Linked DNA regions of Drosophila melanogaster. The protein of the gene in region 2 interacts with the protein of the main gene of each other region in a biochemical or structural test. Each region holds a gene or a part of one and is shown on either strand. Other genes may lie near its edges.

What was found.
Region 1: of the proteins of D (region 2) and pll, one has a biochemical effect on the other in vitro, tested with the Drosophila melanogaster proteins (one study listed by BioGRID).

Annotation. Positions count from the first base shown.
Region 1 is NT_033777.3:27,250,318-27,254,969, reverse strand, and holds pll (pelle), read left to right. Parts: upstream 1-1,787; 5' UTR 1,788-2,012; coding exon 2,013-2,332; intron 2,333-2,390; coding exon 2,391-3,056; intron 3,057-3,119; coding exon 3,120-3,639; 3' UTR 3,640-3,839; downstream 3,840-4,652. Other genes in the region: TfIIA-L (transcription factor IIA L), read right to left, coding at 242-442, 1,345-1,368; TTLL6B (tubulin tyrosine ligase-like 6B), read left to right, coding at 4,138-4,562, 4,620-4,652. UniProt on the Drosophila melanogaster protein: Plays an essential role in the Tl receptor signaling pathway that establishes embryonic dorsoventral polarity; the signal directs import of dl into ventral and ventrolateral nuclei, thereby establishing dorsoventral polarity.
Region 2 is NT_037436.4:14,174,797-14,180,220, reverse strand, and holds D (dichaete), read left to right. Parts: upstream 1-1,600; 5' UTR 1,601-1,652; intron 1,653-1,728; 5' UTR 1,729-2,882; coding exon 2,883-4,031; 3' UTR 4,032-4,611; downstream 4,612-5,424. UniProt on the Drosophila melanogaster protein: Essential for segmentation and CNS development. May modulate the actions of other transcription factors, including gap and pair-rule proteins.

The DNA.
Region 1 (4,652 bases), on a different chromosome or scaffold from region 2:
TGGGTTTTTGAATGGATTTTGATGATGTGCAAAGAGCAGCGCATTAGTCGATGTTGTTGGTGAGGCGCGTTGCATTGTAGTGGTTCAAGTGGTGGAGCATAAGAAAGATAAAGCAAGATATCTTAGTTGGAAATTTTTTTTGGGATGAAGATATCACAATTTGTATGGACTTCTACGTTAAGTTAGACAGACACAAGGATTCGCGATGAGAATATCCACCCAAGGGCTCCGTTTCGCTTACCTTTGGATTGTTGGCCACGATGGGTGGCGGATGGGAGCCATCGCCGGAGTCCGGGCTCAGCTCGACGGCCTTGCTAGCAAGCAACTTGTTGCGCCAGACCTGCTTCATCTCCTGCAGCACCTGTTCGTCGACGCCCTCGTCCAGGAACGCGTCCCGCACATTTGTGATGACGTCCTCGATCACGGCATGGTACACCTTCAGCTGCGGGCGAGAGGGGATGCGGTTAATTGTGTATAATTAAATTTGAAATGCACGACAAATCTGGGCTTGTGTTGACTTAAACACTCATTATATTATCGCGGCTCAACTTCACGCTATTAGGGCCTAAACAGTTGGGGGTAAAACAATAGGGATTGCGCAAAAAATCCACGAAGCAAGTAAAGGGCAAGACGCTATAGAAGTTGAAAATGTGGCGCACAGTATGTGGTGAGCCTTTTTGAGCTCCCATTAAAATTCAGACGCAGCTGTAATGTGAATATGCAAAACGCAAATAAAGTATGTAAATTATTTGTTTGCGAAGAATGTCGCAGTGCACATATGTACATAGATACCATGCATATGCTGGTATATATATATATGTACATTGTACATATATATACACCGGTATGCCAGTTGCTTGTTTTATTAATAGTTTGTTTTGCGTTATCAGCGGACGATAAGGAAGGAGGCCCCGACTTGTAGATAATAGCACAAGCTACGCAGCGTGTATTACTGCTAAATATAACCCCCCATGGGAGTTTGAAGTACTACGCGGAAAAGCCGAAAATCGGAAAATCCAGAGGGCAAGAAACATACAAAACTGCAAGGCAACGAACGCACTAACACAGCGACATCCAGACAGACACGCACTCGCATGCACACACATCCACACCCGAGAGGTTTGCAGTTTTGGTATCTCGGATTTCAGCAGTTGTAACTATCGTTTTGTAGTAACTACCATGACCACTGGGAAAGCTTTCACTTTCCCGCGTGGGCGGCGGAAGGAGGTGAAGCTGGAGGAAATGGAGAAACTCCTTGGTAGGATGCCTTCCATATGTCGAATGCAATGGAGCCACCGCCGCTGACACAATTACCGGATCTCGGGGATCCAGCCGCACACTCACCACCGATGTCTGGCATAGCGCCATTTGGACCTTTTTCTCCGCCAGCTTGAGGCTTTTCCGTTCGCTGGTGGGGCTAATTGACGTATTTGCTGAATTATAAATGGGCGAAGCGAAGAATTAGCGATAGCGATGCGTTCGTGACGGTGTCAGCAGTGTGGCCACCTGCGGGGCACTTGAAAACGACGCATGTCCGCCAAACTGCAAGGCTCATTTGGTCATACACTAATTGCCTTTGGTATTTTTTAAGATATTTTAGTATACAAAATACTGTGCAAATTACATAAAATATGTGGAGGTTATTTAAAATCTATTTAATATTTTCATACAGCAAATACCTTTTTAATAATTACTCTGCTTTCTTTTTACTTCTGAATTTTAAACAGTGGCTCCTAAGCATCTACCACTTTTTCGAGTGTATTATTTGCTAGACATTGGCAGCGTTGCCAGACTGCTTCGCTCTGTTAAGCTGCTTTATCACTTGTTGCGCCGCTGTTAACAAGTCATCCACAGGTTTTCATCGAATCGCGTTGGGAATTTACCCAAAAGCGATTTTCGTTTCGCTGCAACAGGTTACCAGCGCCGCCAACCCCTCATCCAACGGGCACTCTTGCATCCGGAGCCGCATGAATCAGTCGCAACCGGTTGAACCGCCCGCCCATAAGTGAAAGATGAGTGGCGTCCAGACCGCCGAAGCCGAGGCGCAGGCCCAAAACCAAGCGAATGGCAACAGGACCAGGTCGCGTTCCCACTTGGACAACACAATGGCCATCCGACTGCTGCCGTTGCCCGTGCGAGCCCAGCTATGTGCCCACTTGGATGCCCTAGACGTATGGCAACAGCTGGCCACGGCCGTAAAACTCTATCCCGACCAGGTGGAGCAGATAAGCAGCCAGAAGCAGCGTGGCCGCTCAGCCTCCAATGAGTTCCTCAACATTTGGGGCGGTCAGTACAATCACACGGTGCAAACATTGTTTGCTTTGTTCAAAAAGTGAGTCAGTTTGAGATAATAACCGCCGAGATCCCAGAAATGACTCCTCTTACTTTAGATTGAAGCTTCATAACGCCATGCGTCTGATCAAAGATTACGTTAGCGAGGATCTGCACAAGTACATACCGAGGAGCGTGCCCACCATCAGCGAGCTGCGCGCTGCTCCCGATTCCAGTGCCAAAGTAAACAACGGCCCGCCGTTTCCCTCCTCCTCGGGCGTCAGCAACTCAAACAACAATCGCACCAGCACAACGGCAACGGAGGAGATACCCAGCCTGGAGTCCCTGGGCAATATACACATTAGCACCGTACAGCGGGCAGCCGAATCCTTGCTGGAGATCGATTATGCGGAGCTAGAAAACGCCACGGACGGCTGGAGTCCGGATAATCGACTGGGACAGGGCGGATTCGGAGACGTGTACCGCGGCAAATGGAAGCAACTGGACGTGGCCATCAAGGTGATGAACTACCGCAGTCCCAACATCGACCAGAAAATGGTGGAGCTGCAGCAGAGCTACAACGAACTCAAGTATTTAAACAGCATCCGGCACGACAATATCCTGGCCCTCTACGGATACAGCATCAAAGGTGGTAAGCCGTGCCTCGTCTACCAGCTGATGAAGGGCGGCTCCCTGGAGGCTCGTTTACGAGCGCATAAGGCACAAAACCCACTACCAGCACTCACCTGGCAGCAGCGGTTTAGCATCAGCCTCGGCACGGCTAGGTGGGATTTATCGTTTCTTTAGTGCTATCAATCTTCTTTAACTTTTCATTTCGTTTCCAAAAGAGGCATCTACTTTCTGCACACGGCGCGAGGCACACCGCTGATTCATGGAGATATTAAGCCGGCCAACATCCTGCTGGACCAATGTCTGCAGCCAAAAATCGGAGACTTCGGTCTGGTGCGCGAGGGTCCCAAGTCCTTGGACGCTGTGGTGGAAGTGAATAAAGTTTTCGGCACTAAGATCTACCTGCCACCGGAGTTCCGCAACTTCAGACAACTCAGCACGGGCGTGGACGTCTACAGCTTCGGCATTGTGCTGTTGGAGGTGTTCACGGGTCGTCAGGTGACGGATCGCGTGCCGGAAAACGAGACGAAGAAGAATTTGCTGGACTACGTTAAGCAGCAGTGGCGGCAAAACCGGATGGAGCTGCTAGAGAAGCACTTAGCAGCACCGATGGGCAAGGAGCTGGACATGTGCATGTGCGCCATCGAGGCGGGCTTGCACTGTACTGCCCTGGATCCGCAGGATCGCCCATCCATGAACGCGGTGCTCAAGCGTTTCGAACCGTTTGTTACCGACTAGATGGGCCTTATTATGTTACCATTTTATTGACGAACTTGAAAAGCTCGAAGGACCATTTGTAAACCATTTCCACATTTTGTGATCAATCGCAATATATATTTTTAACTTTAACATTCCAACGAAAATTTCCCTAAAGACTTATTGTTATGCTTAAATTGTAAATGCTTACCCTATTGTTTATTAAATATTTTTGTACACTTAGTTGTTAGTGGTATGTTTGATGTTCGGAGAAACTAAATTTATGATATGCCCCAAATCGATGATTTAAAACTCAAACGACTCAAGCGACGTGGCCAGTGGAGCTACGTTTTGATTTTAGCGTCATTTCGGTTATAATTATTTTCATTTTCACAACACAATCATCGCAAAATAATATTGTTTTTATTCGTGACGCAGAATTCCGGCTCTAACCATTGACACGAATCAATTTTATAGATATAGCTTTTAGCACGTGAAAAATTTTCAATTTTTAATCAAGGACGACCAGCGGACGAGACAATGAATTTAAAAAATTCCAAGTTTTTCAAGAGGATTCAGGAGCTGCGCCACTTCTCCAAGGAGAAAATACGGAAGGATCGCGAAAAGAGGACCCACGTTGTTCGCGCCCTGGACATGGCTCTTAATGAGCAGCCGTGCTTGGACCGGGAATGGTTCAGTCCGGAGCAATCACCGCCACTGCAGCCCATGTCCCCACGCCGCCGGATGAAGAAGACCCGGTGCCTCAAGAGGAGGACAGCCGCCGACAAGCAAGTGGATGATAACTCCCCATATTACGGACCATCTTCTGGTGAAAACAGCCCAATGCCTGCTGAGGAAGCCAAGCTGCAGGGATTCATTCAACTGAACAACAAGACCTACCGAGTGGAATGCCCCACTCGGGTGCTCAATCCTCCCATGAACGTCGACGAGGAGCGGCCAGCCAGGTGATCTTCCTTAGCTTTGGATCCTTATTGGATAACGCATCTAACATAATCCCCCAGCGAAACCAAGAGTACCATCTGCGTGTCCAACTC
Region 2 (5,424 bases):
TTTGCCTTTTATATTCGTTTTAATTTTTTCATTATCATTGAATCCATTCTGGACATTGTCAAGTCTTACATTTGCGCGATTGTTCCTGAATTTAATTAAAAAAGAATGAATGACAAAAATTATATTTGCGGAATACAACAAATAAAAATGAAACCAGCTCCCCAAATGACAATTGAATGAAAACAACAACAATCAACAATCGAAAACAACAACAATGCAGGAACGAACAATAAAACGCGAGTCTTTCTCTTTCACCGCGGAGAATCGGTGAATTTCGAATGGGTTAAGCGGTGAGGGTGATTTCTGGCGACAGGATAATGGTTAATATTGTATTCGAATAATAGTAATCACGGCACAACTTGACTCATCTCTCACCTGCCATTATGCGATCAAATTAAATTTACATTTATTTAATTTTCAACTGCACTCTGATACTGTATTTATACTGATAGATTTTTATCAGATAAATATCTGATAAATAAAATGTTTTTCAGTTTGCACGGCACCATAACAAAGAAAGAAAATCTATTATTAGCTTAAGTAATTATTAAATTAGACAGAAAACATATTTAGAGTTTATTTATCCAACTACGAGTATTAGAAGTTTATCATGAATTATTTTACAACTTCCACTAATTTGAACAATATTCTTAAGACAATTTTGATTGTCACTATTCCGCAAAAATGAAATTAAAAATGCATCAGCTAGCTTATTTATTTATTGAATTTGATAGCAAAACACATAAAGAGTATATGTGCTAATAATTTAAAACGTTTATCCTTATTTGTTTTACTCTTTACACTTATTTTAACTGGATTCTAAAAGAATATTTATTTATATAAAATAAGGAATTCATCATAAATTGTATCACAAATGTAACAATTATTTATGCCGCATGTGGGTGGGGAGCGATTTTAGGAAACAGGATCCTGCATTCATCCTACACTGTGTGCTATTATCACTCACTTAGTGTCCTCGTCTGCTAAGTGAAATGCTGAAAACTCAGAAAGAAAAATGTGACGCGGACAAAACTTTTTCCATTACACAACGTACAACAGTTTTTGCTTTCATTATTATTTGAGATTCGTTGTTGTTGCCGTTCTACGTTGTCCTTTCTTCCTTTTTTGGGGAAAGCAGACACAACGGAAACGTTGCGAACGCTGAAAGCTTTTTATGCTCTTACGCTATGGGCCAGGTATAAGAGCTTTGTAAATGCAATTGGAAATTGCACTAAGCTTTGGTGCATCGTTGTGTGGGTGCGTGCATGAGCAGGAGAAAGGCAAAGAGAAGGGTGGGATAAAAGCTCAAAGGGGAGAATGGTTTTACTTTTGGGGTTATGGAGTTTTAAAAAATATAATAGAATATTGCAACCTTATTCCTGAAAGAAACATTTTTATTAAAACAACGGCTCTTGGGGTCAAGATGTTGTTTAATGAAGCAATGTTAAACTCTTACAATCTTTGCATCACAAAAGCCATAAATTATGTCTTCGTTTCGAAAGAGAGGTAAATATGTGTGTTAACAAGAATTTGAAAACTTATTATTATTATTTGGGAAACTCTTTTAGTTACGAATGAAAAAAACATTAGTTTGCGGTAGATTTAATTGTCAATTATTCGATTGCCCTTGTCCTTTCAATCAACATTAAAAGGTTTGTTTTCTTTTGCTACTGCTTATTTGGTAAACCAAAAAGAAAAGCTGGCTAAAACATCTTTTCTATAATAAAGCACAGAGGACCGTTCTACATGCATCTGGGTGAAGATTTGCCTCACTTCCACTGGCTCCTTTGTGGGCTTCTTTCTATGGCCAAATAAGTAAATAATTGCAGTAATATCCTTTCTGGAGCGGCCAGGAAGAAGTGGCAAAAAGGGAACGGAAAAGAATGGAGAAGAATGGCGAGCGAAATGAAAGAATGCGAGAATGGAGAGCGGGGCAAGAGAATGGAAAGCGTGTTTCCATGTCCTTTTCACAAACTAAAAAGTCCTTTCACACACACACATAGTACTGACTACAGAGTACACATAGAGAACGGTATATAGCAGAACACAGACACCCACAATGGACAAAAATTCACACCAAAGACCCATTGTGATTGGCCCAACAAACACGCACACACATACGCGGGGAGAGAGTTGTGTTCTCTCCCTCTCTCGTTCTAACTGCATAGGAGATGCGGAAGTGCAACGCCGCCGTGCAAACAATAACGGAAATTGTGTGCCCACTGTGCGAAAATCAATGTGCTCCCGCGCTCGCCCTGGCTCTCTTTCTCTCTCTCGCTCCGTACTTTGAGCTCCCCCTGCCCCACAGGATTGGGGTCGCTAAATCGAATAACACGAAGCACAGCCGAACGAGAGCTGCCTGGCTTTTGGCTCTATTGAGCTCCTCTATTGAACACACCCCTCAATGGGCGAACAACTATAACCGATATAAAGGAGCCAATGGAACAAAGCCAGTGGAACAATGGGCCGCAAAACGAAAGAGAGAAGACGCTATGTGTGAGTGAGAGCGCGACGACGGCGCAGCTCTCTCCCAGGTAAGAAGCCCAGCCTCTATCCCGCTCGCACCCACGTGGCTTACGTAAAGGTAATGGTGCGAGGGTTGCTCGCACTTCGTGCTCAACTCTCTTCCGAGAGAAACGGGATTTGGCTGCAGTCGTGTAGGCCGCACTGGAACACTACTGAAATCAGTCACAAAAAAGCAGTCGATCCGAGCAGAAGCAAAGCAAGAGCAAAGCAGAAGCAAAAGCAAGACAGTAATTGACATAGAGACAAAGAAAAAATCTGAGAAATCACAGTTGAACCACAGACATATTGTGTTCTAGAAAGTGAAGTGTTGATCTTGAAAGAAGCAAAAGTTAAACAAAGTGTTCAAAATAGCTGGAATGGCCACCTTATCGACACACCCCAATTACGGTTTCCATTTGGGTCAGGCCCAAGGCTTGGAGGACTACGCACCGCAAAGTCAGCTCCAGCTGAGTCCCGGCATGGACATGGATATCAAGCGTGTGCTGCACTACTCCCAAAGCCTGGCAGCCATGGGCGGATCGCCCAATGGACCCGCCGGCCAGGGTGTGAACGGATCCTCGGGCATGGGTCACCACATGTCCAGTCACATGACCCCGCACCACATGCACCAGGCGGTCTCCGCCCAACAGACCTTGTCGCCCAACAGTTCCATCGGATCCGCCGGCAGTCTGGGTAGCCAGAGCAGCCTGGGCAGCAATGGCAGTGGTCTCAACTCCAGTTCGGGTCACCAGTCCGCCGGCATGCACAGTTTGGCCACATCGCCGGGACAAGAGGGTCACATCAAGCGTCCAATGAACGCGTTCATGGTCTGGTCCCGCCTGCAGCGTCGTCAGATCGCCAAGGATAACCCCAAGATGCACAACTCTGAGATCTCCAAGCGCCTGGGTGCCGAGTGGAAGTTGCTGGCCGAGTCGGAGAAACGACCATTCATCGATGAGGCCAAGCGCTTGAGGGCCCTGCACATGAAGGAGCACCCGGACTACAAGTACCGGCCACGCCGCAAGCCCAAGAACCCACTGACCGCTGGACCCCAGGGTGGACTGCAGATGCAGGCCGGCGGCATGGGTCAACAGAAGTTGGGAGCTGGACCGGGAGCTGGAGCCGGAGGCTACAATCCATTCCATCAACTACCGCCATACTTTGCACCCTCACACCATCTGGATCAGGGTTATCCAGTGCCGTACTTCGGTGGATTTGACCCACTGGCTCTATCGAAATTGCATCAATCCCAGGCAGCGGCGGCGGCGGCGGTCAACAATCAGGGTCAGCAGCAAGGACAAGCCCCGCCCCAATTGCCGCCCACCTCGCTGAGCAGCTTCTACTCGGGCATTTATTCCGGCATCTCGGCACCTTCGCTGTACGCCGCACACTCCGCCAATGCCGCCGGACTCTACCCATCCTCGTCCACCTCCTCGCCGGGATCTTCGCCCGGAACCATCACGCCAAATGGTATGGATGGTTCCATGGACAGTGCCCTGAGGCGACCGGTTCCGGTGCTCTATTAGAGTCGAGTTTTAGGTTAGAGTACAGAGTAGAGTACAATTGTTGACGCATTCCCAAAGTGATCCACTGGTTTTAAATCTTCAAAAGCTCTAAGTAAGCCAATCCTCCAAACCACTCCGCTTAATTCTAGTACAATCTTCGCGCACTTCAGATCTAGAGAGTAAGGAGGGAACACACAAAACATTCCTAGCCAATACACAAACTATAAATTATAATTTATTTAGCGCACTCACTATACCGCAAAGAAAATTAAAAAAGATAAACCTAATTGTAAATTAATTTTATTTAGTTTTAAGCATCGAGCGAGCGCCTCCTTCTTGTTGTTTTTTTTCGCATCAGCACCTACCTAAAATGTAGCTTATAGTTTTAATTGTCTAACCCTCTCAAATTGTAAATATCCCTGCAACTATTCGTTAAAGTCTCAGTGTAGCCCCAAATGCGAGGAAAGAACGTACATCAATGTATTATTGTATTATTAATTGTATTGTAAAAGTTATCATCTAAGCGAATAATGGTTCATGAAGGCCAACACAAAACAAAGACATTTAAAAGTGAATAAAAACAAAATGATTTGAGAAAACCAAATTTGAAAACCTGTTTATTCTATTTCAAATAATTTACAGCTTGGAAGATGTGAAACTGGCAATTGGTTTTGAAATGAATGATGATGATTCTCTACCAAATGTAATCACATTAAAGACATAGGTAGAGTTGTTGTGACTGGAATCAGACGAAGTTATCATATATATATATATACCGGGAAAAAGCTGAAAAACAAAAAAGATAATTTTAAGCCTTTAATAGAATGCATTTCCCATTTTCTTAGCCAGCATACCACATTTTACAGTTATGTTATAAATTTACTTTAAACATATGCCCAAGCTATATGTGACTTAAATTTTTCAGCTGATTATATTTTATACTCCATAATTGGATTATCATATTTAAATTCGAATTTGTGTCTGTATTTTTCATAACCTTTAAGATTATACAGGGTCGTGCTCTGAGCATGCATCAAAATTATCAACGAAATTAATAACGAATTTGAATATTCATAAGACCATTAACATAATATTCTCAACTGGATTGAGTGAGTCATTCGGATAAAGCTTAAAAACAATCATTTCATCATCACCTAATAATGGGTATGAATTTTTCTGTTTTGTGAGTAGTATTCGTTTAATATCAAAGTCCTATCCCGTTTCTGATCAAATTAACCTTGTCTCTGGGTGTCTTTACTATTATTTCGCTCATTTCTGTGTGAGTTTTTGTTGGTTAGTTTACACCCGCTGGGAAGAGATGAAAAAACTAAATTTGATTTGCCATTATACAACTATTTGCCGTTGTGTATTAATTTCTATTGATTAATGCGCTGTTTATTTTGCGCCTCCAAGA